4 linked regions of the Saccharomyces cerevisiae S288C genome follow. The gene in region 2 interacts genetically with the main gene of each other region. Each region holds a gene or a part of one and is shown on either strand. Other genes may lie near its edges.

Region 1 (8,216 bases), on a different chromosome or scaffold from region 2:
GGTCATGTTCTGTGTGATGTTTTCGGTCAACCCATCACACAGGCAGATATATCGAATCCAACTAGGGCAAGAGACGAAAGACCTTTGGACACTATAAGAAGTTTCGAGTATGCTGTCTCCGGAGACCCGGTCTGGGCCCAACAGTTGGAGACTCCAACTTACGGGTTCCGCGTAAGACCTGATTTCCCTGTGTTTGGTGCTGCTGTGACTTACGATGCGAACGGTATGCCACAGCAAGTGGGTGGTGCTTCCAGTCAAATGTATGGTGAACAAGCAGTGTATCAGCCACAACAACACGTACAGACTGAGGAAAAGCAAAAGAAGAAGAAGAAGGGATTGTTTGGTAGAATGAAGAAGAAATAAGCGCTTGATACCCTTTAGAGACTTTATTTTTTTCTTTTTTATGATAATTTCTGTTTTCCGCTCTTATTTTGGATATTTCATATTTCATATTGTTATTATTACTATTATTATATATACATACACACACATATTTTCAATTTTTTTGTCATATGGAGACGAAAAAATGAAGAATGAAATTAAATTGGTTTATAAAATTATTTCTCCGCCTTTTATTTGCTATTTCTCTGTAGAGCTTCGTCTTCGAGGGTATCAATTTTACGCCTGATCTGCTCCATATTTTCGCGAATTTTAACCTCTTGTTCATCGAATTTTTTATCCAGCTCATTTAAAGCCTTTAGCCAAACTTTTCCTTGTTCTTGGATGCTGGTTATTTGTGAATCCAGCCCTTTCGTGGTTTCGTACACCTCGATCACCCTGTTGTTCATTTTATTGAGACTTTTCATCCTCTCCGCCAACAGTGGTAGTGAATCTTGATATTGCTTGAACATGGAATACATACTATTTATCTCCTTTACTTTGTTTTCGGGCATAACAAGCTTGCTCACGGTGTCATCTTTCAACCTCAAGTCCTGTTGTATTTTCTTGCCTAACAATGAGTTTTCAAATTCCTCGTTCAGTTCTACGAGTCTATCCCGGAACTTTTGCAGCTTTCCTTCCGCCTTATCATCGCCTTGTAAAAGTTGAATACTTCTATATAGTTCATTGACTTTACTATGAACCGATTTCCTATCTTCTTCTGCCTCCAAAGCTTCTGGTATGCCAACAAAACGTTCCATTAGGGATATTTTCTGATCTAACTTTTGCAATCTTTTGATATTACTCGTATCAAGAATTATGTTTGGCAATATGACGGTATCTTGGCCTTCATATGTTTCGAGAAGCTTCTTCCTCAAATTTGTCAATCTACTAGATGATTCCGTCGCCAATTTTGATTGAATTTCGCACAATTCCTTGATTTCAGTTTGCATTTCAGATGTTAAATTTTCTATTTTCAACTCCTCCAATTCTTCTCTTATTCTTTCTAATTTCTGTTGCCGACTTTCATCTTCTTCATCGTTACTCAACTTTCTCGCATCTGCACAGTCTGATTGGTTTTGTCTATGTATCTTGAAAAGCAACTGATCTCGAATAGCCCTTCTCAAACTCTCAACATCTCTCCCTGGTTCAACGATGAGCCCATCTTTTCTTGAAGATGCTTCTTCCTGCTCTTCTTGTTGTCCATCTTCCTTCACTTCATTTTCAAAAATTTCTTGAGATTCCTCATTGTCAATGCCAATCAAGCTATCATAATCCACATTGATGGCAGGATCACTTAAATCTATGACGTTCATCAACCAGTAGATTTCTTTATCTTTCTTAGCCTCATGACTTATCTGCTCTTCTTTTTTTTTTTGAAATGCATTGGCTCCCAAAAAAGTAATAGTACATCTATACTTGTAAACACTATTATTTGTGCTGGAAAGATGGCCCCTCAATTGGAGTCCTAACTTTGATTATACAAAAATGCCACTGAAACGCTCCTTAAAAGAATCAATCGAAAGATTATCTAGTTTTCAATCAAAATATAATATTTTCACTAGTATCAATCCATCTCCTTATTCAATCACAAATAAAAAAGGTACAAAAGAAACATTGACAGGTTGCGTTGCCAGTATCAAGGATAATATAGTTACAAAAGATTTTCCAACCACATGTGCCTCACATATACTTGAGAATTTCAAGTCTCCCTTCGATGCAACAGTAGTGAAACTATTAAAACAGGCAGGAGTGCATATCTTAGGCAAGACAAATTTAGATGAATTTGGAATGGGTTCTGGGGGAGTACATTCAATAAGAGGGCCCGTAATTAACCCTTTATATCCTCATGAGGACAAGAAGATCATGGGAGGTTCATCGTCTGGAGCCGCTGCAAGCGTTGCTTGCGATCTAGTCGATTTTGCCTTGGGAACAGATACTGGTGGCTCCGTTAGGCTCCCCGCATGCTATGGATCTGTTTTAGGATTCAAGCCGTCCTATGGACGGTTGTCAAGATTTGGCGTAATAGCGTATTCTCAATCTTTAGACACTGTTGGCATACTTAGCAAAAAGATAAACGTCTTGCGAAAAGTATTTCATACGCTCGATAAATATGACATGAAAGATCCCACTTCCTTAAGTGTGGAATTGCGTGAATTGATAGAAGGGAATAAAAAGGTTAGGAGACCTTTAAAGGTAGGAATTGTAAAGGAATTTAGCCATGAAAGTATGCCCATTGGGTTCCACAGATTATATTTATCCTTACTAGAAAAGCTGATAAATTTAGGGCTTGAAATATACCCTGTATCCATTCCATCTGTAAAAAACTGTTTACCGATTTATTATACGCTATCACCCGCTGAAGCGGCTTCCAATTTATCAAGGTATGATGGTATCAGATATGGATACAGAGATTCAGAACTCGATATAAAAGACGGTATTTTATTCGCACCTACTAGGTCCAAATTCGGAACAGAAGTTAAGAATAGAATCATTCTAGGTAATTATAATCTTTGTTCAGATGCATTTAAGAACAATTTTATTAAGGCAGAAAAGCTACGAGTTAATTTGATCGATGAATTTGACGGGATCTTCAGATTTCCAAATGTTTTAACTAATTCTAAGGGAAATCCAGACGGCCTAGATCTACTGATAGTTCCCACATCGTCCAAGCTTCCTGGATCCATAAGGGACTTCGAAGAAGAGGAAGCCAAATCTCCGGCTAACTCGTATATAAACGATGTCTTTACTGTCCCAATGTCATTGGCTGGACTACCAAGTTTATCAATGCCTTTAAAAGAGAAGACCCCGATTGGCTTACAGGTAGTAGGTCAATATGGTGATGATTCCACTGTGTTAGATTTTGTCGAGTCAATATCATAAATTTGTGAGGACAACGTTAATCATGTAAATATTATTATTTTTACTTTATACCTATAGAAAGTTCGAAAAAATTAATCTATGATATTCACATACAAAATTTTACCATTATACTGGCAGAACCCTAACTCCCGCTAATTTATCTACTATTGGAGCGATTGCTGGGTGAGAAAGTATGGGACCAATTATGGGCATTGATCTCAAAAATTGTACGATGACGCCAAAAAAATCACCAAAGAGACCTATAATACCTAGAGATTCAATTATAAAGCCCAAAAATGTCCATTTCAACAGTATTAAGAAGGCACCAACTAGGAAAAATAGTGAACCGCGCCTTTTGTTTGGCCTGGTAAAAAAAATATATGTCTTTTGTGAACCGATTATTAAGAATACTCCAATTAAAAACAAAATATTGCCCAAGGCCAATAGGGCACGATCAAAAAAAGTAAATATACCAAACAAAAAGAAGAGAAAACCGCCGAAAGTGAAGGCCACACCAAATTCTAGTGAAAAGTAAGTTGTTAGTAAAAAAGGAACTAACGTCTCTCGGAGAAGCAAAGAGCATCTAAAATATTAAAAACATACTTTGAGCCTCTGTGAGCCACATTTTACGCGATGATGGGTAAGCTAAATGATCACTGGGCTGAACTGTAAATCAATCACACGGAGAAGGCAAACGCCAACGCCTTTTAACTCATCTTAAGTGTTTGGGATGGACAACTTTCCAATGTCCGAAAAGAACACGACGGGTAATACTATGCACGAAAAATAAACCATACCATGGAAACCGTAAATGCCGGATGAGTACTAAGAAGCGCAACACATTATTATTTGATTCTTAAAGTTACTATTTTTCTTTGTGATCCCCCATAATTAATATATATATGTTACAGTTATATTTATTTCTTGAAAAAAAAAAAAAAGAATAATTAATCGTAAATTTCATTAGTTAGAATGTCGTCCCAGGTAAAAAAAAAAAGAAAGAAAAAAAAGGTGAATTATCATTCAACACTATATCTGCATGGTTTCATCACCATCAGAATCATCAACATTCACCTGGAATGAAGCTGCGTGTTTTCTTGCAGGATTCTTATCGTTAGTAGTATCATAATCGTTAATGGCTGTGGTATCATTGCTGCTCATCGAGGCCGTACGTGGGGTTAAAAGTAAGTCAACTTCATTGACATATTTCTTCACGCTAGTAGAGGAACCTTGCCTCGATAAGGTTTTGGGGGTATTGAAATTTGAGCGCGATTCTGGAGTGGTGCTGAAACAACCGTTCATCAAGCTATTCTTTGGTGGCTTAGGGTCCAAGACAAAAGTAGAATTCTTTTTCACGAGGCCTGACTTGGATGATGATAAAGAAGTACCGTTTTTGTTAGCGTGAAGATAGTCGAATGTGCCTGCAGGCTTAAGAGATGTCATGGATAATGTTTTCTTCAGAGTGTCTCGAATTCTATTCAATGATCTTTCACGAGAATTAATGGTTCTATCAACGTAAAGGTCAGGCAAATCCATCTTGCTGCTGAAGGCGGTGGAAGTTTCAGAGGACCCGCCATCCATATTTAAATACGCTAGAGTAGTTGTCTTTCTTGATTTGGAAGGAGACCTCAATGTGTGCATGGACGCTGTAGAAGATACCCTTCTTATTGTTGGATGAAAGGAGAAATTCGGCGTGTCCTTAGTATTCAAAGAATTTGAAGTAGCAAAATAATCCTTAATAAAGGGATGCTGTTTCAAATTCTTAGCAGAACGCCTAACGGCCGGGTCAATAGTAAAACAGCATTGAACAAAATTCCAAAATTGTTCGTATTTAGGGTCGTGCATCATTTGTTCGTCGACGTAATAGTCACATTTTGAAATACATTCCAGAGTTTCGTCGTCTGTGGTACAGTCAAAGGGCGTATAGCCGAAGGCCATGAAATATGTCAGTACACCAAGGGCCCATATATCCACCGGACAACCATACTTGTCTAGTTTGCCAACTTGATCAGGAGTCATTTCACCGACACCTTTGCACTTGACGATTTCTGGAGCAATATACGAGATGGTTCCAACAAACTCCTTTAACGAGTTTACCTTACTTGTGTTATATTCAGCAGCAAGACCAAAATCGGCGAGAACTAGGTCGTGTGCCAAGAGATCGTATTTGAAATCTCCGTGGTGTTCACCCTGTAGGTTTTTTTCGTTTTCGTTCACTCTCAATCTGAATAAGACGTTTTCTGCTTTCAAGTCTCTATGAACAATACCTTGAGAATGCAAAAACTCGAGAACGCTCACCAAACAGGCGCAGTACGAGGTAACTTGAGTTTCGAGGTCTAAACACTGATTTTCAACAATTTTTTCATACAAATCTCCCTTCTGACACAGCTGAGTGATCAGGACAATGTTATCTGCCGTCTCAAAATAGTCGAAAAGTTGTAAAATATGGTGATGCCCCTCAAAAATGTCCAAAGAATGTTCATTCTTTTTTTCCATATCTCTGATTTTCTCGCTTATTGACCTCAAAAGGTCGAACTCTCTTTGAATAAGTTGAATTTTGTTCTTGACAGTTTGTTTCTTAATAAGCTTCATCGCGTACAAATCCTTTGTGTGTATATTCATACATTCTTTCACGACGCTAAAATTCCCATCGCCCAAGGAGTTGTGGTTGGTTACGTATTTACATTTGAAGGTTTGAGCGTCTGCATTGCTGCCACTCAGTTGCGGCCAAGGTTTTTCTTCCGGCAGGCGCTGTTGTAGCTGGGAAGCAGAAGAACTAGCTGTAGTCATATCCTGGATGTGTATTTTTCTTTTTGAACTGTTGTAATGTCAATTGTATGAAAATATCGCGGTTTGGCTGAGACAGTCGTGGTAGGTAACTGAAGGAGCAAACAAGAAATTAATAAATAAACAAGTTAGCAAAACAAATAAAAAAACTGTCACTCTAAATAGAAAGAAGTAAAGAAGCAGAAGAAGTCATCCCCGTTCGACACGTTTTCATATTCTGAGTACATGATAAACCCCGCCCTCTTTTTCTTTTTTTAGGAATCCCCCTTTCTATTGTCAGAACAAGAAAGCGGTGTTGGAATTCAAGCAGCTTTTTTTTTTTCTTTTCGTCATACAGTTTCTTTTTCAGGAGTCTTGGTAGCACCCCACCCGTGGAATCGGCGGAATAACCTAACACGTGGAGGTTTTTCCGAGGTGCCAAAAAAGGAAAAACAAAGAGAAGCTGAAATCGGAATTTGAAGAATAGCGTGGGGGGGAGGGGGTTATTCAAGGAGCGCCTGTACCGGCAACGATAGCTTCGGCGGCTAAGATGGCAAACCTAATAGATGTATGTAAAAACATGGATGATAGCAGGCGGTGAACAGCCATGGTAATTTTAGGGAGTGCAAAAGTTATATGTAAGGCTATATCTGTATCAGTTAACAGGGGTGGAAAATGATTTGATAGGCGCAATATGTTTATTGGTAAAAGAGCATCTTAAACCACTTCATTCCATTTCTCACTATCACAAGTGATATATTATGTGTATTTTGCAATCCATGACGCTTTAATGCTTTACAAAGCGCTGCTACTTCTATTTTCTTAACGTAAAGAGGAGTGTATGACGACTAAGAATTGTTTACCCGGCGAGAGTCGATTCTTCGTTACCCGAATTGAAAATTTTTTATTTGCTTTTTCTTTTTTTTTTTTTTTTTTTTTTCAATATTAGCTTTAGCGATGAGATGAGATTTTATAGTGTATACACGGTACTTGAGTACATAGCTATTGGATAACTGTATACTATAATAATTAGATAAGCTGAGCAATATTAACAGGAGAAGTATGGCTACCCCGTCAAATAAACGTTCTAGAGATTCTGAATCTACAGAAGAACCTGTAGTAGATGAAAAGAGCACTTCAAAACAAAACAATGCCGCACCTGAGGGAGAACAAACTACTTGTGTGGAAAAGTTCGAAGAACTAAAGTTATCACAGCCAACTTTAAAGGCCATTGAAAAGATGGGATTTACCACTATGACTTCTGTTCAGGCAAGGACTATCCCACCTCTTTTGGCCGGTAGGGATGTTCTTGGTGCTGCCAAGACAGGTTCTGGTAAAACTCTAGCGTTTCTCATCCCTGCTATTGAACTATTGCATTCTTTGAAATTCAAACCAAGAAATGGTACCGGTATAATTGTCATTACGCCTACAAGAGAGTTGGCTTTACAGATTTTTGGAGTGGCAAGAGAGTTAATGGAATTCCATTCACAGACATTTGGTATTGTCATTGGTGGTGCAAATAGAAGACAGGAAGCCGAAAAATTGATGAAAGGTGTTAACATGTTGATTGCTACCCCTGGAAGATTATTGGATCACTTACAAAATACAAAAGGATTTGTATTCAAGAACTTGAAGGCTTTGATTATCGATGAAGCGGACAGAATCTTAGAAATTGGGTTTGAAGATGAAATGAGGCAGATAATTAAGATCTTGCCAAACGAAGATAGGCAATCCATGTTATTTTCAGCTACACAAACGACCAAAGTTGAGGATTTGGCTAGAATCTCGCTGAGACCGGGCCCTCTTTTCATTAATGTCGTTCCTGAAACCGACAACTCCACCGCAGATGGATTAGAACAAGGCTATGTGGTATGTGACAGTGATAAGAGATTTTTGTTGTTATTTTCTTTCTTGAAAAGAAATCAAAAAAAGAAAATTATTGTATTTTTATCATCTTGTAACTCTGTGAAATATTACGCTGAATTATTGAACTATATTGATTTGCCAGTCCTCGAATTACACGGTAAGCAAAAACAACAAAAGAGAACAAATACATTTTTCGAATTCTGTAATGCGGAAAGAGGTATCTTGATTTGTACAGATGTCGCAGCTAGAGGGCTAGATATCCCTGCTGTGGACTGGATCATTCAATTCGACCCTCCTGATGATCCAAGAGATTATATTCATAGAGTCGGAAGAACCGCAAGAGG
Region 2 (8,717 bases):
ATTAGTTTGCCAATTCGTAGCCACCATTTGTACACCGGCCTTCCAAAAAGGTATTGGGTTAAAATTTGATGATTTGTATCGTAAAACGTGAGGATAGACTCTCATCAAATATCTTCTATTATGTTTATCCAACGATAATTTTAAGTGTTTGTCTTTTATCATGTATTCTACTTTGCGCTCATTCAGTGAAAAACAATGCGCTATCGTTTTGGACTCTGGTAAAGAGAAATTCCTGAACTTGATGCCATGTATTCCAGAAATGTTAGAAACATCATTAATTATATCAGCGTGCTTTTTTAATCCAATTCTTTTGATGCGTTGCATACTAGAAGAATTTGTTGCGCTACTACTGTTCGTGGAGTCATCTTTCATTCTTAATTCCTGTTCATTAGCTGATTCGTAAGAAGAACTAAAAGAAGATGGAAATGGCTCATTAACGCTAAGACCTCTAGTTGCTTCACTCGTCTTCTTGGATTTCAACAGTATTTTATGTTTTAATTCCCTTGGTGATGGCAGTTTATCAGTTCTTGTGCCAACAAAGTACAGCTGTTCTGCTAAAACCTCTCTCATTATCAGGCTTGCCAATTTTTGATTATCCTTGTTACAGTTTATTTCCAGTGAAATAATCAAAGGATACGGAGACGTTATAAAAGCGTACTTCTTTATCACGCGTATAACTGTTTTTAAGGGAATAGCTGACGTTAAAAATCCATGGCATACCACTGGCCCATTTTCACCATCCCATATATCAATTTCTACGCACCTACAACCTTGTTGTAGGACTTGAATATATCCCTCCACAGATGGAGTTTCTGCAATTTGTTTCCCCAATAAATAAGTATTATGTGAAGATGCAATAAAATAATGGTTTAATGGCTTTGAATATAACTCCTCTTTAACCTCCACCAAATATGGTTGCTCCTTCAAGAACTTGGTAAAACCATCTTGCCCCATCGTCAGCTGAGTCGGTTCTCTGTACTTAATAAAATATGACCATGCAGTTTGACGATCCACTTGCTCATGCTGCTCTGTAATTAAAAATTGAAAAAAATTTTCAAATGATAAGTGGGAGTGTGGAGGTTTTGTAAATTTAGACCAAATCATATTTACCTCTTTCCTATTCTTTAAGATTTTAATGAACTTTTCAAATTCAAAATAATTTAATAGTCCGTTATGATTGATGTCTGCTAATTGGAAAAACTCTAACAATTGACCAGTTGACACATAAATATGAAATTTATCACATAGTTTCTTCACATCTGCAAAGCTCAATGTGTCCTTTTTCTCATCTTCCTCTTTTTCAGAAACAGTAATTTGCCAATGTATCCTAGCGAATTGCGAATTATCAGGCAAAAGTATGCTTTCCATTAATTCCCTCCTTAACTTCACTAAACCGCAAATGCAGCTTAAGAATGTGTTAAAGTCCAATTCATTCAAAGCAACTACGTGTAACGCTTTCAATTTGTTGGAAACCTTATAAATAATAGCAATCCAAAGTTTACTGTCCGATCTCAATCTTTTCGGATCTACTTCCTCTTGATAAGTACTCGCCGTATCACCGATTCTGATGTCTTTAACGGAGTCTAATTCCAGATACTTCGAACCATCTTTCCATATTATTTGCCCGTTGTTATTGATTAATTTAAATTCATAGAACTTCCTTCTTCTTCTTGTCATCCTAATCATCCTGATTCCTCTTTGCAATACGCGACATAGCGTGCTGAGATCACAGTCTTTTCTTAATTTCTTGTTAACAAGCTCATTTATCCCATGTGAATAAGTAAGAGGCCCCATATGGACTCTAGGCAATTCGGCTGCTCTTCTAAAAATCGACCTTATGCTTCTTCTCACAGTACTTCCATTGTTCGCGCTTTTTTGGTCAGTATTAAAAGAGGATTGAAAAGAACTGTAACTTATAAAATCTAAAGCATCATCCTTTTGTGTTATTTTCCCTTGATCTCTGCATGAGTGTCGTTGTAACTCCTTTGTAAGATTAAACCTTTGGTCATCTATAGCACTTTCAGTCATTCATATACACTGCGTGAATGACCTTACCGTTGTACGTTTATAATTCCCAGTCTTTTATTGTTTTAATGACCTGAGGCTGCTTATGTCGTGATGCTTATACTATTTTTTTTATAAAGCGTCGGGTAAAGGTGTCAAAAACTGTAAAATGAAAACGTGCGGAATCTTCATGGACTATTTAAAATTACACATAATATTACATTATTTAAACTAGTATTACAAATTCTATGAATGGAGAGGGTGAGAGGGAGGATATATAAAAATGTATAAGTATACAGTTTTAGGTTAGTATCAATAAGTTGGGGTTTTATCTAAACGCCCTTCTCTTGGTGAAAGTAACTGTGATAAGGGGGTGGGAGGCCTCAATCGGGTTCTTCTTCTTGTCGAAGGGACCCAAACTTGACTATTAGGTGTCGTGATTTTTGTTGGCGGAGTCTGGAAAACCTTTGCTATCGGTGTGTTTTCTACGGTGACTTTCACCACTTTATCCTTGTATATAGGGATCCTAGAGGGCAAGGACCGGTAATGATTCCATTTATCTTTTTCGATGTCAAGCACAGACTTATTCTTTGCCATCAAAGGAGTTTCTGTAATCTGTACTTTATTTTCATGCCGAGATGTAATGAAGGAGTCTGGTGACTTTTCATTTTCCCCACGAGAAACACGGAGGGTGGTTTCATCGGTTTCGTCATAAGGTAAGGGAGGAACACTACTTAGTATCAGTTTTCCTTTGTTTGGCGACTCCGGATCAAAAAATGGATTAATCGCATTTGATGAATTTGGGCTTGTTGCAGGTTTAATATTCATCTTCTGCAGTAACGCTTTACCAAGCTTTTTACCTTTCAAAGCCACTGTAGTTGAATTTTCCGGTGTTTTATTACTGTCACCTTCATTAATGGCGACTCTCTCCTGGAAATCCTGGGTTATAGTTCCAATAACACTATTCGGTCGCCCAAAGCCTAATGATTTCGGTTTTGGAATCTTCTTCTTGCTAGTAGCTATTTTGTTTGAAGCGGAGGATTTGATTAGAATTTTATCCGCTGTAGGCTTGATATTCAGCCATCTTTGAGCTAATTCATTTGTCTTCGATGCGACGCCAGCGTCCAAAAGTGAGAATTCCAATGCTCTGTAAATAATATTGAATGTCTTAGAAACAGTTTTTGATTTTCTCTCCAATTGCCTCTCGAGCCTTATAGTGATATCTTTGGTATACTTTGTTGTCAGTAATTTCGACTGCAACCTTTCTATCTCATCAAGAATGTATAATAGTTCATGATTTAAATTAATAAAGAGTATATTCCAACGTTTGTCGATTAGTTCGACTTTCAATTCCCTAAACTCTGAATTCATAAATCTATAATCTTTCATTATCAGCTCGTATTTTTTTTGCAAGATTGTTTGCAAAGTAGTTATGTTTGTTATATTCCGGTGCCCAAATTGCACAATTCTTTGAGGTAGGATATCAGTCAAACTTTTTTCAATTGGAGGGATATTTTTTTTTAGGTTCAAGAACTTTCTTGATAAAATATCTTCTGCCGGAGAAAATTTTGGTACCTTTGGCTCAGTTGTCTCCGTATGCGTTCCTAATAACTTGACTAGTTGTTCTAGGGTAAATGATGGAGTATGCCGTATCGGGGACGCGAACCTTTCTTCCTGAATTTCCAGACAATACGATATATTGCTATTAATGATTTTATGTAATGTATCCATATGATCCTTTGAAATTTCGTTAAATTCCAATGACGTATCCAATAATTCCTTCAAGTTAGTAAGCCATGGCTCCAACTGAGTCTTAATTTGTGTAGATTCTTCTATGACGTCAAACATCGGGCTAAATCGATTGTATTTGTCGCTATCCTGATCGTCCTTCGAGAATTCATCCTCTAGTAAATCCAACAAATGAGCAAAACCTTCCTCAATATTATGAACGTCACTAATAAATTGATATAGCATATATTTTTTCAATAATAACCAGTCCATAAACAACAAAATATCGTCTTTTCCCAGTCTTTTCTTGTTGACTAAGTCGGGAATTACCGAGGCAACGTTCTCCAAATCATCATAAAATTGAACTAACAATGTCTCTGATATACTTGTGGTACTCTCATTCAATGAGTTGCAATCGTTTATTGAATGTAATGTATTGTGAATTCTTTCTAAACGTTCACAAAAGTTCTCTTGGAAGTCATCCCCAATGGTCATAGATCTGGGTCCATCATTATCCATGGCAGTGCTACTGAAATCTTTAAGGCTGTTACAGACAAAGATTCGTGCGGCCACATTACACTTTGTTATTGTTTCAATGTTATTTGTTTATGCTACCAAAAGTATCGATTCGGGTAATGAAAATCCTTTTTATTTGGCATTTAACAGTATTATATATAGTATATATTTAAATGTGCGAGATAAGAATGGGTATATGCGATGCGGATGACTCACGGTTGTGGTGTGATCTTAATTGGATTAGCCTCCTTTGCCGCGTCTTTCAGGAGATGTTCGACAGATTTTTCAATATCATCTGAATTATTGTCTTTCGTCTCTGGAGACTGGTTATTGCTGTCGTTATCATGATTATTATCATTATCGTCATTATCGTCCTTTTTCTGGTCATCATGCTCCTTACTCTCATTCAAATCTTCCTTTTCGATGACCTTCTCTATTTGCAGTTGTTGGTCAGATGGCCCAGGAGCCGCTTTCTCATTAAGTAATTGCGATAAAGCACTTGTTGGATTCGCATACAATTCTTTGAATTTGCCCATTTCTACCACTGATCCATCATGGCCAAGGACAATAACATTCTCTGATCTTCTGATCGTACTTAGCCTGTGCGCGATGCTAACAATAGTCATCGATTTTGATTTCATTAGTTGACCAAACGTATAGTTAATGGCTCCTTCACTTTCAACATCTAAAGCTGATGTAGCTTCATCAAGAATCAAAATAGTTGGCTTTTTGATTAGAGCCCTTGCAATCGCAATACGCTGCTTTTGTCCTCCACTTAGTAAGGTGCCGTGAGGACCAATTACCGTATCGTATGTGTTCGGAAATTTTGTGATAAAGTTATGGCAAAAGCACTGCTTTGCTACTGACCTGATTTCTTCCTTTGTTGGGGTATATGTCAACCCATAAGTGATATTATCCCTAATAGTACCTGACATCAGTACCGGCTCTTGCTGAACGATACCAATATGCCTTCTTAGGGATTTACAATTCAATTTAGAGATATCTTGGTTATCTATCGTAATAGTCCCAGTAGTGGGATTATAATATCTTAGCAGTAAGAGTGCAATTGTAGATTTACCACGACCTGAAGGGCCCACAATACAAACACTCGATCCTGGCGCAATTTTAAAATTTAAATTCTTGAATATTTGAACAGAAGGCCTTGTAGGGTAGCTAAATGAAACATCTTTAAATTCGATAACACCACGATCTGGTTTATACTTGTGTCCCACAGTCGGTGAAATGGAAGGTTTCCTATCTGTTAATTCAAACAACCTGGAAGCGGCCCCAGCACCCTGCATAATTTCCGAATAGAAGGTAGAAAGGCCGAATACCGCATTCCCCGTATATTCTGTGTACAGCATAAATGCAGTCAGATCACCAATGGAGAGCTGTGATTGTAAAACAAGATAGGAGCCATACGCAAGGACGGTTAAAAAACTTAGGTCACCTAAGAGACTAGTTGTAGTAAAAAACTTTGCGTTTGTAAATGCCGCAGTTTTTCCCACCTGAAAAATATCTCTAATTGCAACGTTATACCTAGACAATTCATTACCTTCAGCAACAAACGACTGAACCGTCTTGATACCAGAGAGTTGTTCTTCAGCGACTCTAGTCAATTGACCAGTAGCTTCTTGAAGGTCTTTAGAGGTGTTTCTAATTTGCTTCCCGAACACTGAGGCACTAAAAAGAACAGGTGGAGTGAAGAATAGTAACAATATTGATAGTTGAGGTGACAAAGAACACATCATCCCCACGCCAACAACCCCACAAATTAGGGCTTTGACCCCATCCGAGACCTTCTGGGTCATTGATCTTGAAACAACATAAGCATCAGATCCTAAACGAGAAATTAAATCCCCAACTTTATGGTTGTCGAAGAATTCTGCGTCTTGATGAAGCGTTTTTTTAATGACATTTGCCCTTAGGCGTGCAACAACACGCTCACTTAGTATCCTCAATAATATAAATCTACCAAAATTAGCAGCACAACCAATCAGTAAAGCAACAGTAAAAAAGGAAAGAAACTCATATAAAGGCAAAGAAAAAATCGGTATCTTCAAATCAAAAAAATCTGATCCAGATGACGTCTTAAGTGTGTCAAGGACAATACCTATGACTTTAGGAATAGACATGCCTATGGAACATGATATGGTTAAAAGAAGTATGGCTGTAAGAAGCAGTTTCCAATCCCGTTTCGCCAACATAAATAACCTTATTATATCTTTATAGTCATCAGTTTTAGATTGCTCCTTTGCATGTGCCGACCTTGCTGATCCTTTAGATATGGGAGAGGCTGAAGGCAGAGAAGTTTCTGGAACTGTTTTGGATGAATTACATCTAAAACTTTGTAAAATTAGTGATTTTCCAACTGCAGGTGACCTTAAACACAACCGACTGAGAGGAATGAGCTGCGATGAAGAAGGGGTGACCAAAGACCGAAACCTTATAGATGGCAGTTTAGCCAGTCGGGGACGGGACAGCATGTTTCTGCATATGCCCAGCCGCAAAAGTGGTAAACGACCATTCAACATTGCGATTGGCGATGATGGGACATATATTTCTTTTTCTTTTAATGCAATGATACAAACTTTATACCACTCTTCGAAGCGGCCAGTATTCAATATCATTGTAGTCATTATTAGTTTCCCGTATAAAAGTACGTAAGTTTTCATACACAGTTGCTAGAATATTTAAAATGTATATCAGCGAGTAAAAAAAGAGCTGCAGTTCCCAGGAAGCGTTAAACTATTTTGTTATTGGAGTGGGTTCAGAAGCTGCAGTGCCATTTTTATATTGGGTATAAAAAGCATCTGTTTGCGATCTGTTAAGAACACTAGCGGTTTGTAATTCAGTTTTCAATGAAGAACGGATAGCCTGAGCGGCCACATTCAAATATGCAGCATATGATATACCAGCTTTCCTCCAGGCAGACATTTTATGAATCGGTTGTGGGCTGAAACTGTTGATGTTTCTTAGAAATACATATCTTGCTAAGTACTCAATAGAAAGGCCTACTTGTATCTCTTCATTTAACTAGACGAAAAAGGGGAGGATCAAATTTCATTGGTTCGTATAAAAGTATTAAAAAATAAGCGCGTTGCCAGACTTAGTGTGAGATAGTAAGCTAGTAAATCATCTGCTATTACCTAGTTTAGCGTATTTCCTAATAAGGATTACCAATTCCTCAAGTTCATGGCTTGGTAAGATACAGCTATAGCTTTCTTAGTTTTTTTCTTCGAGAGAACTAGTACAATGCTTCTATAGAAGTTAAGAAGTTTACCTTTTCGAAGAACAAATATATTGTTGCTTTGCTTACTCCGAGGTTATCGACTATTTTTGGCAATCCGTTTGAACCTGGATAAATACGTAAATCAGACTTTCTTTAGCCGGATCAACTCTTTTTTTTTTGTAAGCACTCTGACTTGTCGCTGCTGTGTCTGCCAATAATTCAATAATTCATAGTATTTCATACCATATGCTTTATTTAGTGTCCCACTGATGTGAGTTGAAGAATTGTATTCAGATAGGCATATCTTAAGGTCCAACTATTGCCACCGTCGTAGTGCGGAAAGGTTGATTATCGAGCGAATTAGAGGAATAAATGCTGCTATGCGCACGATGAGCAAATCGGAAGTAAACCACGCCGCTGATCCACCTGAACAAAAGAATCTCGCGGAGTTACGATTTAATGTAGGTTTGCTCAGATTACGTTACTGATACTTTACTTTGGACAAAAGTTCTCATACAAACTGTGGAAACAACACCGCTTAAACCAACGATTATGAAATGACATGGTCTAAAGTAATATAATCTATATTAGAATGTGCAGATGGCTATGGTATCCATGCGATGGCAAACCTCCGCAATGATTGGCGTTCTAGCGGCTATCCGAATTCACAATCGACAAGAAGTACTTCTAACTTACACAAGGCAACGAAATAATATCACTCTATGAAACTGCCATTTGGGTAATAGGAGTATATTGAACGACACCGGGTCAACAAGCAACTTTCCTAAGCCTTTTACACTTCTTCACATCATTCAAGATCGCCTTTTAACGAGCTACAAACCTTCACGTTCGTTCTTCTATGGAAACGTTTAAGATAACGTTAAAACGTTCTCAATCACAGAATTTAAGATGATTAGAAATGTTTTCCAAGGGATAGGGCGAAGCACAACCTCGAAAAATGGCAAAATTTTAGAATCTTAGCCACCTTAACGTCTACTTAGAGCCTTAGAAAAGCCATCAAGATTGGTGGAATAGTTGTTGAGGGAACTTAGCCGCCACATTCTCGTAGCCAAATAAAGCGAATCTGACCATTGTATGTTTCTTTTTCACTGGTATGATAGCCCAATGTGTTTAAGGAAAGTTAGGACAACACACCCGAAGAAGGACGTCACCCCTGCATTCCCAAACGAGCTATGAAATAGCTCTTTCCTCTACAAGTAATAACAACAACTTTTTT
Region 3 (8,553 bases), on a different chromosome or scaffold from region 2:
AAAAAACAAAAGATATATACAAAGTTACAAATATATACATGTATATATGTGTGAGTCTGTTGTGATAGAATGAATGGAGAAAATGTTCACCAGATTATTTCTTCAAATATTGGGCCAATTCTTCGATGGAGATCAAAGGAATGCCATGTTTCTTACCAAACGCTTGGCAGTCATTTAATCTCATCATAGTTCCTTGTTCGTCATCGTTAACCAATTCGCCAATAACAGCGACGGGACTTAGTCCACTTAGTTTACACAAATCGACACCGGCCTCAGTGTGGCCTCTTCTCTGCAAAACACCGCCATCAGCGGCTCTCAAGGGACAGATGTGCCCTGGTTTTAAAAATGATTTTGGCGTAGAGGAAGAGTCTGCAAGAGCCCTACAAGTCATCGACCTGTCGTGAGCAGAAATACCTGTGGTAGTGCCTTGGGCTACATCTACAGTTATTGTGTATGCAGTTCCATGCCTGTCGTCATCATTGGATTCAAACTTCATGCCTGTTCTCAGTAGTGGAAGGTCCAACTTATCAGCAATGGCATTCGTCATAGGTGCACAGACGTAGCCTGAGGAATGGCGTACAAGAAAGGCCATTTGTTCAGTGCTGACATTTTCAGCAGCGCAAATAAGATCACCTTCATTTTCACGACCGGCATCGTCCATAACAATTACAAACTTATTCTGCTTGAAGTGTTCTATAGCTTGATCAATTGGTGTAAACATTTTCGACGTTGCCTTTTCTTCTTTTCCTTTCCTTTTTTTTAGCCTTCTGCTTTTTGTTGGAGATATTTACATTCACCTCACATATATACGCCAATGAAAATTTCACAATAGCACGTATATTAATAATAGCCTTGCTTTTTTTTATCAATTCTCGCTAAGAAATTACTCATCAGGCAATAACCTATGCTCACCCGCCTCGAAGCGGCGTTAGGAGATAACAGTGGCCGTGTAGAGGGACGTCTTAGCATCGAAAGCCCAATTTACAACAACGAGGCGACCATCTGCACACCACACTTGACACCGTAGAGTGCGACTATTTTCCCCTCCATTGTTTTTTTCGAGCCAGCGTGCACGTAGTACGGGCCCCCCTAACAACAATGGCGCCCCTATGATAGCTTTCCCTGCTCGCGCGTCCCACAGCCGCACCGTCCAGTCCGTGGAACATGATAATAGAAGCATTAGCCGCCGAGCATCGTCCCAATGAAACTCTAACCCGGTTACCCTCGTAGAGTGGTTTTCTGCAGGTTGGAACCCATTGTTGTCCAAAGAGAGGTACAGCGGCCCAGGTTGGTCCCAGAAAACCTTGTATATACCACCGTCTTCGCCACCGATCCAGACGTACTGCGGGTCCTCACTCGTGTACGCCATGCAAGCTATACCTACCTCATCAAACTTTGCCAACCGCTGCAATCGCTCCGTATATGTGCAAGTATCATTCTCCAAAGATAAAAGCTGTGATAGCGGTACAGGACGGAGCTGCTGTGGCTTCCGCAAAACAGTCAAGTCCAGGCAGCTCAACTCCATAATATTGCCATTATCAGCTGCCACAAGTACTCTCTCTTGATCTTGCACGCTGCTTGTTTCAATTACAGCCACCACTGGGTGCTGAAAGTAGTGTCTTGCCACCATATTTCGCTGCACGACATACACTACCGGTGTTTCTGGCTTTTTCTGTTTCAATCTAAGCTCGTACAATATGATCTTGCCCGTCAAGGTCGCCAACAAGATTGATATTACATTGCTTTCCGGATGATACCGACGGAGGATCGTGGCTGTCATGATCCGCGTACCACGGAACTCTACCATATCTATCAAGAGGCCGTTGCGTCCGCTGGCATTATCGCACTTGACTACATTCACCACAGACCACGCCGCTTCGCTGCTAGCATACTGTAGGTCTGCCGGCGGCAATCGTAGATAAACCACAACCAAGACGCCTTTTCCTGGGTCATACTCCTGAGCGATACAATCGCAGTCTGTCTCTGATTGTAAATTCTCACTGACCATGTTCCATTGCATGAGGTTGTCTTTATCCTGTTGCATGTTCGATGGCGCCTGCTGGCCTGACGCAGAAACCTCTGTCTCCAGCCGCGCAAAACTAGCGTTGCTCAGCGTTGCCGCCGCCTCTTCAACAAGAAAAGGTTTGGCTAGTTCTAACCTTGGCTGGTCGTTTTCAGCTTTGTCTTTATTATTTTCGTCGGCAGCAGTAGTTTCAATGGCGACAGCATCAGTAGTGGTGTGATTTTCATTTTCTTGCAGTTGTTCTTCCTCAATTTGATCTGTTTGAATGCCTTTGTCGTATGTTATAACCTCCTTACGTCGAAGATATGCAGATTGGGGCTCTTGAATCTTTGAGCCTTCCTCCATGTCGGTCTGCACTGAAACGCTGACCATGGTTGCCTTAGCGTGCACCTCTGTGGGATGGTGGCCCATCGTCTCGCTCCCAGGGAACAAGCTGGCTTGTTTTCGCCTCTCACGCAGCTCTTTCAATTGTCTCCTTTTTTCCTCCAGTTGCTTCAATCGCTCCATCTTAATGTTTCAATCCTTCTTCCTCTTTGGTTGATTAACCAACTGTGATGCTCTTTTTTCCCTTTTCTCTTTGTTTACGGCAAAACACGAAAACTAGTTCATTTCTTTTTCTTTTCGCCTTGGACTAGTACTGAAAATTTCAATAGCATTATATTTGAGCCATAGGTAAGAAAAACCAAATTTGTTAGTATTGGGAAGGAGAATAAGATACCTGACTCGGTGATGGACATTAACATAGACGATATTCTTGCAGAACTGGATAAGGAAACTACTGCTGTCGACTCTACCAAGATCACGCAAGGTTCTTCTTCCACTACCCACAGAGATGCAAATACAATAGTGGGTTCGTCCTTAGACTTGAATGACAAGACTCAGATATATGTCTCTCCCCAGCAGGATTTTTCTGACTTGATGAAGTCTTGGAAAAATGAACGGTGTTCGCCAGAACTCTTACCATATCCTCATCAGTTGATGAAAAGATTATTGAATCGAATATCCATGCAATCTCAATTAATTGAAAACATTTCAATGGGATTCCTCGATATGCAAAATGCTTCTAATGCGAACCCGCCTATGCCTAACGAATCTAAATTGCCTTTACTCTGCATGGAAACTGAGTTAGAAAGATTGAAATTTGTTATTAGAAGCTACATACGATGTAGGCTAAGCAAAATTGACAAATTCTCACTTTATTTGCGCCAATTAAATGAAGATGAAAATTCGCTGATCTCTCTTACAGATTTACTATCCAAAGATGAAATCAAATACCATGACACGCATTCCCTGATCTGGTTGAAACTAGTCAATGATTCTATCCTGAAATACATGCCCGAAGAACTTCAGGCTATTAATGATACAGAAGGTAGCGTAAACATGATAGATGAGCCCGACTGGAACAAATTTGTCTTTATACACGTTAACGGCCCACCAGATGGTAAATGGAACGAAGATCCGCTATTGCAGGAAAACGAGTTCGGTAAACCTTGCTACACGGTCACAATACCCGATTTAAAGGAAGAGGTTGAACTCACTATTGGAAGTATTTACGTTATGAGATATGAAGTCATTAGGGATCTGCTGAGAGACGACAAAGTTGCTCTTATTTGAACTATTATGCATTACACTTTCCCCTTCACCATGTCTTACATATGCATATATATATATTATCAAGCACAGTTTCATTTTTCATCTGTCCGTGTCATGTTTTTCCGCATTTGTGTCGATCTTGCCAGCAATTTTGAGTAATTAGATGACGATCGGGTCTGCAACGAAGTGGGACGTTTTGTGTGAAGTGCGCCTTCTTCGGGTGTCTTTAAGATGCAACGGTCCGGTAAACCATTTATTAGCCTATTCGATTGAGGTACGGGAGGAGCTTGATTCTTTTTTTTTGTATTCTGTCTTTTTTGAAGAATGAACTTATCAAACATTTTATGGTCCGACTTCGGCGATACTACTTTAGGTTTGGCGGTCATTCCATTATGTATTAATTTCCATAGTTTCATTAAAACTGCTCTCTCTTTGCATCCTATGAAAATCGTCCTGGAACCGTCAATTTCAAGGACTTGATCACTTATAAAGCGTATCTTCTCAACGTCATTCAACTCTAGTTCGAATTGCAATTCAAATTCCTGTTCTTCCCACATGCTGAGACTTCTTCTCTTGACAAAAACAAGTGCTCTGCCTAGGTTTGTTATTAGAAACATTTTCTTGTAAAATTTGCCTGCACTATCAGTAGGAGGCTCGATATCAAGAGGGTTCTTGTAGTCCAGAGCCACGTTCTCAAGACCTACAGGTGAGTCCTCTAAGTTTCGTGTGGAAAGCGCTACCTCCTTCATCAACAAGACACGTTCATCCATATTTTGCAAGTAGCGTGACCAGAAGGCGTCAGAAGAGCGACTTCTATTATCTTTCCCCCGTGATGTAGTAGAAATTGAAGGAGATGATACAGATGCGCGATTTTTTGAAACCTTCTTTTGAATTACCTCGCGATCTGTGTTGTTGGAGGCAGATCTAACAGATGTGCTTGACTTGCTCCCCAATTTGGGTTGACTTGTATAATCTTTATTGAATGCGGCGGTTGCTGCAGTCATACTGATCACAGAATGCTCTTGAGAGGTCGCTGCTGGTGCTTGCAGGGGAGTATCTGCATGTCCATTACCAGCCAGCTGAAGGTTGGCCATTTTGACAGTGGTATCAGATTCAGAAACCTTTTGCAGGGGCTTCATCGCCTCTGCATTTATTTTATATGGCTGTATCTCCGGTGGATTATCATCCCAAACAGAACCATCTTCAAAGTTGACTTCATGGAAAAAGAGGTGTGCTTTGATCTGCTTTATGGTCAATCTATCATTTGGATCCCTAACTAATAGTTTTTTAACTAAATCTTTTACTATTTGCGGAAAACCTGCAGTAAACGCATATTGAATCTTCATTACTTTTTGGAATGTCAAATATTCATTGGCAGCTTTAAAAGGCGGTTTTCCCGCAAGCATTTGGTACAATATGCAACCAAATGCCCAAATGTCACAACGGGAATCTGTATAATTATCATTCAGTAGCTCAGGAGAAACATATTCTGCGGTACCAACAAATGATTTCGACTTAGCATACAAATCGAAATAAGGCTTGCCATCTGCGGTGTTCGAAGGTTCCTCCGGTAAAATTTTGGCTGTACCAAAATCCGTCAACTTCACTTTCATATTTTTGTCGAGCAATATGTTTTCGGGCTTGATATCCCTGTGAATAATGCCGATATTATGCAAGGAGTCAACGGCATCGATGATCTGCGACGCATAATAGCGTGCACATGTCTCGTTTAAAGATCCATATTTCTTAATCAAGCCCAAGAAATCACCGTGGGGGGCATATTCTAGAAGGAAATACAAGCTTGCCTCGTCCTGGAAAGTGAAGAAAAGCTTGAATATGCCCTTGGTGCCATTCAGCTTCTGCAAAGCCAATTTCTCCACTGTGACGTATTTAACTTTTTTTTGACGGATCAGATATTCTTTACTCAACACTTTTACTGCATATTTCTTGCCCGAATCACGGGCGGTAGCCAGAACAACACTAGAATATGATCCATCCCCGAGTTGCTCTCCAAACTTGAAGTCCTTTATTCCCATCTTGACAACATGCTTAGTTAACTCCCCCGTAGCTGGGTCGACAACATCTTTGACGATTTTTGCCGCACCACGTTCTGCCCATTCTTCTCTTCTACGCCTCATTGAGGGATCAAGACCCATCTCGTGCTGCATACCCGGGTCATCATTTGCCAGGGGAATGAAGCGATTAGTACTAGTCAATGCCTTTTCTCCAAACTGACCTTGTGGAGAAGCCTGTAGTTCAGACCCGCTCTGAGAATTGCTGCCATCTACGAAAGGACGAGGATACTCTTGCGTTTGTGTATGTTCCGCAGATGTCGGTACCAAGGGCTTGGACAGCAGGGCGTGGTCTGCCTCTGTCAAAGACCTATTTCCCATATTAATGATATAGTAGCAGTATTCAAGCAAGTACACGTGCGCAAGTTGTACCAGATAGTGACTGTCCAGCGTTACTTTCTCGCCTGCTCTGTATTACTCTTGTTGTCACTCCGCAATATCTCAAAGCCATTAATATGTACTAACTTGAATTTTTCATGCTCCCTTAAACGAAAATAACCCTACTGAGATTTTCACCTTTATAGGGTTATATGCTAAAATAAGTAGGTCTTATCATGCAACCTTTAGGGTCCAAGCCCTTAAATCCGACAGTCGGGCAAGCCCATTTTCCCAACGATTTTTCAACGGTTTTTTTGCCTGCAGGGCATCGGCAATTTGACAATACTCACGACCGATGGATGCAGCAATCAACGTAAAAACCTTACTTAGCCGGTTACTCATGTATATGTCAGACATATATACACACGCACACATATATATATACGTACATGTTGGCACCCTTCTGTTAATAGAATTTGATTTCTTTTCTAAAGGCATATCAGTATCATCAGTTGAAACAGTAAGGAGCTCCGCAAGCGCAATATTAACTTTACAAAAGTGATTCTGGTTCCTAACTTTTCTATTGTTTTCCATTTTCGTCATTCGTTTTGTTATTAGTCGCCTTAATTGAGTCAAGCAAGATAAAAGAAGAAAAAAAATGAGTATCACCACTACTAGAAGAAGAAACCAAGATAGTGTCTGCTGCAAGGCAACGAGAGCCTCCATTAAGGTGGAAGCTGTCTCAGGCCAGACAGTTTTTGAAAAGCAAAAACTGCTACACAATTTCGATGAGTTGCCAGAATGGCAAAAAGATAATGACAAAATTCTCACCGGGTACGTTCGTGAAACACTGTCATGGAAAAAGTGCTTATATTCTTTATTTTATTGGAACAACGAGACTGTGAACATTTATACACATTTGGTACCGGCTATCGTATACTTCGTGTTTGCCATTACGTTGACCAACTACTTTCTAATTCCCGTTTTCCCCTCCACTTCCTGGTCCGATTACACCGTTATAAACATTTTCTTGATGGGCGCTTTCTCATGTCTCATGTGCAGTAGCTGTTTCCACTGCATGAAGCAACACTCTGAAAAGCAAAGCAATTTCTGGAGCAAGCTCGACTACTTGGGGATTATCAGTTTGATTTCCTGTTCTATGATCCCTATAATATACTTTGGTTACTTCGACCACATATCCTACTTCAGTCTTTTCACGATTGTTACTTTAGTCCTGGCAACATTTTGTACAGTCTGTGTCCTCCACGACAAGTTTAACACTTCCACATTTCGTCCATTTAGGGCCATGTTTTTCATATTGTTTGGATTTAGTGGCTTACTCCCATTGACCACAGGGTTTTTCAAGTTCGGTATCCAAGGGGTTCTTAACAGAATAAAAGTCAGCTTTGTGTTTTGGGAAGCTCTCTTTTACATTTCAGGGGCTGTAATCTACGGGTTTAGGATTCCTGAAACTTTGGCTCCAGGGAAGTTCGATTTCTTCGGTAGCTCTCATCAAATATTTCATATTATGGTGGTTCTTGGTTCTGTATGCCACTTGAAAGCCATTATCGATTCTTACAAATTAATGCATTCTCATATCCACCCTTGATGGGCCTACAACTACTACAAAATCAAATAAATAACATTATATATCTAAGGTTAGAAAATAATTAAATGCAAAAAAAGTCTTTATTCCTTTTTAGATATTCGTCACATCATGCTTTTATCATAGATCGCATTTTGACAGGTACTTCGCTATATTAGCCTAATTAATTTTGGTCTTACTAAAGTGAGTAATGCCGAAAAATTAAACGTTTGAATAAGTGAACCTACTACAAAGGAAAGAGAGGAAGAGAAAAGGATAGGACTAAAAGACTTCCTTATATTTTTCGGTACGCTTGCGTTTCACTGAAGAGAATAAAAAGAACAAATTATATAAATTTAACACACTATGAGCACGAGAACAAAGGCCCTGAATGCATACAGGCATGGCTTAAGAGCAACCCGAATAGCTTTCCGGAATGATGCTGAAGTATTACTAGCCGCGAGAGCTAAAATGCGTTCAGGAATGTTATGTCCCCCAGATCCTAAACTCACCACAGAGGATCAGATTCAACATTTAGAGGATGTGGCTGTTTTTTTGAGACGAAACCTGGTTCAGGGCAAAAAGGTTGATGGCTCAAGTACTAAGGAGCCTAGGTACCATTTGAACATTCACAAAGACACCGAATTGGGTGACAATGAGACGATTGCAGACCCTACGGCAAGAGTGAAAACAAACTTAAAGGCAAGACCATTTAAATGCTCTGATAAAAAGCAATGATAATGCCTTGATTTTGTTTTATCTTCGAAGCTATATACATGTAAATACTTTTTTAGTACCTAGCAACTTTGCTAGGTGGCATATAAACTGATTTAGCACGATATATCGTTGCATTTGTTCTGTTTGTAGTATGTACATGTATACAGCTTGTTGTATTTGATGTGCTACTGAAACAGCGTAGTTGCTAGTGCTTTATCCCTTTTGACGGAAATGAACAAAGCTTT
Region 4 (5,343 bases), on a different chromosome or scaffold from region 2:
TATGCACATCAGCCTCGTGACAGATGAGGATCTCATGTCAAAAACCGCCAAGAAGCATGCATTATTGAATTTGAAACGTGGTAGATTATTAAGTATATGTCTATGTAATATTAAGTAAGACAAGGGCATTCACTTTACATGCAAATGCATTTGGAACCCTTGACCGAAAAAAAAAAAACAGGTTAACCGCAAAATACATGATCTTCCTTTATTAGAAGAACCGTTTGGCTTTAGTTAAAAATTGATGCTTTTCAGTGGAATGACGATCTTCGTTTACCTGACGCTCTTCATTTTCATCAACCTCATTTAGCAAGACTTCAGGGTCCACGTGCAAGTCTCGAATAACCTTTTCGGTCGCATCTTCCATATCCATCATACCATAAATTGCAATTGTGATAATACCAAGAATACCGGCAAAGCAGGAGAATGTCATGGCAATAATACCTTTTTTGGTAAAACCGGTAGGAATGAAGGCATGCTGAACATTTTCACCAGTTAAATCAGTTAAATCCAGTGTATTGGCAGCGGCGTTACCTTCAGTGGCCACAGAGCAACTCTGGCAAACTTCTAAGTGGTTTTCACTGAGTTGTTGAGAATGAGCATCTTGGATACCAAAAGGATCCTCCACGAGAACAAGACCCAAACCTTGCAACAAATGCCATTCGATATGACAATGGAAGAACCAAACACCTGGGTTATCGGCTTTAAACCTGATGACGAAATTGGATTGTGGTCTAACGTATAAAGTATCTCTTCTCATTGGGTATTCTGGGAAGGCAGGGTGGTTGTCCGGATCGAAACTGTGAGGAACTTCACCTAGGGCATCATCATATGTACGATCTCTCTGGATGGTTTGGAAAGCGTGACCATGTAAATGGAAAGGATGGGTACCTGTGTCCTGGTTATTTAGCACAATCTCCACGATTTCATCCTTCTCTAGGATGAAAGTGTGCGTGTTTGAACCGTAGATTTCGGAGTTGTTTGCTTGATCACCTGAAGACAAAACGGTCATCAAAGTAGGAACTTTTGGTGCAGTATAGGTGATATTATTGAAGAAGGCGTAATTCACACCGTTTTTCAAGTTATCCATAACAACGTCAACGGTAATCACATGATCTGGCTCGCCATAGATGGCTTCTTTCTCGTACGGTTGCAAGTAGAAATCGTCCAAGAAGTTATCAATTGAATCCACGTAATTTTGTGTGGGCAGCGCAGCGGTTTTGTTGTAGACCATATAAGAGGTTGCATTCAGCTGTAAATCACTTGGAATGACATCCAACATGGTGTCATCAAATTTCTGCATGATGGCGAAATTTTTGTCCGTGTCGTTTTTAGTGTGAACCAGGACTGTATATCTCTGAGCGACAGTGATGTAAAGCATATCCGTTACGTTCTTCTCGGTAGTGATACCGTCGATTTCGACCACGGTCATTTCGTGGTCCTCGATCCAAAAGTACTGCGAAACGAACCCACCCACGTTGACAATTCTCAAAAGATACGTCGTATCGGGCTGGACTTCCCATGTCAGATTCATCGTGTTGTTAACAATCAAGTTCTGTGGGATGGGCTCAGCACCTGTCGGATTATAAACACTCATGAACGACTTCGTCAAGTCCGTGACCAAGTCGTGGTACCACTCACTAAGCGATAAAGAAAGTTCCTCATCGTAATCGTAGGGGAAGCTATCATCCTTGATGATGAAAAGACCTTTCATCCCGTCTTCATATTGACCGTCCGTGTGTGAATGGTACCAGTAGGTGCCTACATTGTAGTCCACCGTGAAATTGTAAAGCATAGTACTGCCTGGCGCAATTGGACATTGCGTCAAGAAGGGCACACCGTCCATAGAGGCGGTTCCGTTTTGGAAGAGACCGTGGAAATGCATAGAAGTATTGGTGTTGTTCATTCCGTTGGTCAAGTAAATCTGCACACGGTCACCTTTGTTGACCGTTATATCTGGCCATGGGAACTGGCCATTACAGGTGATCACGGGACGGCTCTTTAGCCCATCAACGTTCCTGTAGTCCCAGCCAGTGGTCCAATTAAACGTGTGCGTCTCCGCTTGTGCTAGCGAGAGCATCGAGAAAAGCAAAACGGCTATAGAGAGCAAAGCGTTAGTCATCTAGTTCTAATTTTTTGCTACTCTTCCTTACACTGGGGTCCTCTTCGTTTCCTATGCCTATCCATCGCTTATAGAACAAGAGCTATAGGGCATGGCCTGCTTACATACATATATATATATATATATATATATATATAATCGCACTACATGCACGAGGCCTTGGCATACTCCCTCGAAGGATCGACTGTTTGAGTGCATCCTTCATTTTCTGTCGCAATTGGCGAGAATAAGAGCACCTGCAAATGGGTGCACTTTTGAAGATGGGCCTTGCCTGTTGGGCCTGCCTAAGTCAGCCTCGCCTAGCTCTAGGCGGAGGGTCTTTATCGGCGACTCAGCGTACTGTAGGGACCACCCCAGGCGCAACGGGCTGATTCGCACCCGGAAAGTAAAGCTTATTTCTGTCGGACGGAGAGTGTCCTTTTTCTCTCGCAGAAGACCATTTATTGGTCCTGAAACGGTATGAACATGTTATTATTCCTGTAACCGTGAAATAGGCAAGCCAAGGCATTATCGCAAAGAAGGCAGCACAGATTCTCGTATCTGTTATTCTTTTCTATTTTTCCTTTTTACAGCAGTAATGTCTCACACAGAAACACAGACTCAGCAGTCACACTTCGGTGTGGACTTCCTTATGGGCGGCGTTTCTGCTGCCATTGCGAAGACGGGTGCCGCTCCCATTGAACGGGTGAAACTGTTGATGCAGAATCAAGAAGAGATGCTTAAACAGGGCTCGTTGGATACACGGTACAAGGGAATTTTAGATTGCTTCAAGAGGACTGCGACTCATGAAGGTATTGTGTCGTTCTGGAGGGGTAACACCGCCAATGTTCTCCGGTATTTCCCCACGCAGGCGCTGAATTTTGCCTTCAAAGACAAAATTAAGTCGTTGTTGAGTTACGACAGAGAGCGCGATGGGTATGCCAAGTGGTTTGCTGGAAATCTTTTCTCTGGTGGAGCGGCTGGTGGTTTGTCGCTTCTATTTGTATATTCCTTGGACTACGCAAGGACGCGGCTTGCAGCGGATGCTAGGGGTTCTAAGTCAACCTCGCAAAGACAGTTTAATGGATTGCTAGACGTGTATAAGAAGACACTGAAAACGGACGGGTTGTTGGGTCTGTACCGTGGGTTTGTGCCCTCAGTTCTGGGTATCATTGTCTACAGAGGTCTGTACTTTGGCTTGTACGATTCTTTCAAGCCTGTGCTGTTGACGGGGGCTCTAGAGGGGTCCTTTGTTGCCTCTTTCCTATTAGGTTGGGTCATTACCATGGGTGCTTCCACTGCGTCGTATCCCTTGGATACGGTAAGAAGAAGGATGATGATGACTTCGGGCCAGACCATCAAGTACGACGGTGCTCTGGACTGTTTGAGAAAGATTGTTCAGAAAGAGGGCGCGTATTCCTTGTTCAAGGGCTGTGGTGCCAACATATTTAGAGGAGTCGCTGCAGCTGGTGTCATCTCATTGTACGATCAGTTGCAACTCATAATGTTTGGCAAAAAATTCAAGTGAAAAAAAAAGAAAACAACAAACGAATAAAATCTAAAAATTCTACATATTCTTGCTATTTATTTACATATTCATTCTTGCTACATACCTGTCTTATGCTATAATGACACTGGAGGTCTTCTTTCTTCTTTGAATTTATGTCCTGACAATTCAGTAAACGCCGTGCGGAAGGGAACCGTTTACGTACGCCAAGCTAAACATTGAAAAAAAAAAAAAAAAAAATGATAATAATAGTAATAATAGTAACGACGTAAAGGTAAAAGAAACAACAGACTTTTAAACTTGTTAACTTTTGCATGACCTCAATTGAAGATCTGATATCAAATCCTCCCCTGCTACTGCATTCCTCACTCTCTCAACTTCGCTACCTCATACTCAGTGAAGGGCTTCCCATATCTGAAGATAAACAGCAGCAGCGCACGCGATGTTACGTGTGGACGGTGCTCTCTCAAACTTCTATGGAGGCGTCTACACAACGGTACCTTGCGCTCTTGAAACTGGGCCCACCTTCCACAACCATTTACCAAAAAATCAAGAACGACACATCCAGAACTTTTCAGACGGATCCAAACTTTAGAAATAGAGTCTCAGAGGATGCCCTCATCCGGTGTCTGTCGTGCTTTGCTTGGCAAACACAACAAAGAAGACAAAAGACTCGTTTTGGTCGCATTCCTGTGAGCACATATGTGCAGGGCATGAACGTGTTATTAGCTCCTCTGCTTTACTCATGTCCTTCTGAACCTATGGCGTATCAACTTTTCACTAAGCTTTGTTATGAAATGATACCGACGTATCTAACTAAGAACCTAAACGGCGCCCAGAACGGCGCCAAACTACTAGATATTTCTCTCAGAATCATTGATCCAAAGCTGAGTAAATTTCTATCGGACAATTTACTTACAGCAGAGATTTATGGTATGCCTTCCATACTCACGTTATCCAGCTGCAATAAACCGCTTGATCAGGTCATTAAACTGTGGGATTTCATGTTTGCATATGGATTCCATATGAATATTCTCTTTGTGGTGGCATTCCTAGTTAAAATGAGATCCAAGGTTTTCAAATCGGATTCCCCTGTTAATTTACTACGACAGTTTCCGGATTTTGATGCTGACGAGATCATTCGGCTGGGCGTCGGGTTCATCGCTAAGATCCCTGCTCAAATTTATGACCTATTGGTAGACCACTTGACCGACCCAGACATATATATACCGTAAACTATGTGAAGAAATATTATATTTTATCGTTTAATTCTACAACGTTTATATGTCTGTATGTGTAAAAAAAAATAAAACGAAAAAAGCAGTGGGTAGATGAGAAAATTTACAGTAATTTAAGGTTATTATTCTATTATTGCACGAAATGAAAATGGCTCGTACGCATATCCTTCACCTTCAAAAAATTTGGACATTGCCTCCACCCAATGCAAACGTAGCGCATGCAACATTGCGGAAGTACCTTCCATGAAAACTAGGATACAAACGGTTAAAACAAACCACATAGCAAATAAGAAAACCACCTTCATGACAGCCAAAGGCGACCCTGAGTTTTTAGAACTGAAAGCGTTTGAAATTGTCATATCCCATAAAACACTAGATAATTGCGCATGCGCCAACGATAGTGCCCAAAGACGTAGATATGATGCTGTATGAGAGATACAATTTAAACAGAATTCAATAGTATGGATTACCTGATGAATCATGACATCGCCGAAATT

Evidence for each region.
Region 1: mutations in KAR9 (region 2) and JNM1 are lethal when combined (synthetic lethality), as found in Saccharomyces cerevisiae (7 studies listed by BioGRID, with this or other methods).
Region 3: mutations in KAR9 (region 2) and PAC11 together harm fitness more than expected from each alone (negative genetic interaction), as found in Saccharomyces cerevisiae (5 studies listed by BioGRID, with this or other methods).
Region 4: mutations in KAR9 (region 2) and BUB2 together harm fitness more than expected from each alone (negative genetic interaction), as found in Saccharomyces cerevisiae (9 studies listed by BioGRID, with this or other methods).

What each region holds. Positions count from the first base shown.
Region 1 is NC_001145.3:850,444-858,659, reverse strand, and holds JNM1 (Jnm1p), read right to left. Parts: upstream 1,695-8,216; coding exon 573-1,694; downstream 1-572. Other genes in the region: GSR1 (Gsr1p), read left to right, coding at 1-363; glutamyl-tRNA(Gln) amidotransferase subunit HER2, read left to right, coding at 1,867-3,261; GOT1 (Got1p), read right to left, coding at 3,367-3,761, 3,844-3,865; protein kinase TDA1, read right to left, coding at 4,270-6,030; ATP-dependent RNA helicase HAS1, read left to right, coding at 7,069-8,216. UniProt on the Saccharomyces cerevisiae protein: Component of the dynactin complex which assists cytoplasmic dynein by increasing its processivity and by regulation of its cargo binding.
Region 2 is NC_001148.4:28,547-37,263, reverse strand, and holds KAR9 (Kar9p), read right to left. Parts: upstream 4,252-8,717; coding exon 2,317-4,251; downstream 1-2,316. Other genes in the region: PLC1 (phosphatidylinositol phospholipase C), read right to left, coding at 1-2,028; ATP-binding cassette permease MDL2, read right to left, coding at 4,461-6,782; ATP15 (F1F0 ATP synthase subunit epsilon), read right to left, coding at 6,997-7,185. UniProt on the Saccharomyces cerevisiae protein: Involved in karyogamy. Component of a cortical adaptor complex that orients cytoplasmic microtubules. It may be involved in anchoring cytoplasmic microtubules to the cell cortex.
Region 3 is NC_001136.10:1,428,260-1,436,812, forward strand, and holds PAC11 (dynein intermediate chain), read right to left. Parts: upstream 2,531-8,553; coding exon 929-2,530; downstream 1-928. Other genes in the region: 3,4-dihydroxy-2-butanone-4-phosphate synthase RIB3, read right to left, coding at 95-721; DNA replication protein SLD5, read left to right, coding at 2,753-3,637; serine/threonine protein kinase PKH1, read right to left, coding at 3,709-6,009; IZH1 (PAQR-type receptor), read left to right, coding at 6,665-7,615; MZM1 (Mzm1p), read left to right, coding at 7,958-8,329. UniProt on the Saccharomyces cerevisiae protein: Required for viability in the absence of the kinesin-related CIN8 mitotic motor. May be a dynein intermediate chain.
Region 4 is NC_001145.3:385,601-390,943, reverse strand, and holds BUB2 (Bub2p), read left to right. Parts: upstream 1-3,922; coding exon 3,923-4,843; downstream 4,844-5,343. Other genes in the region: ferroxidase FET3, read right to left, coding at 212-2,122; ADP/ATP carrier protein AAC1, read left to right, coding at 2,700-3,629; STV1 (H(+)-transporting V0 sector ATPase subunit a), read right to left, coding at 4,969-5,343. UniProt on the Saccharomyces cerevisiae protein: Part of a checkpoint which monitors spindle integrity and prevents premature exit from mitosis. This cell-cycle arrest depends upon inhibition of the GTP-binding protein TEM1 by the BFA1/BUB2 complex.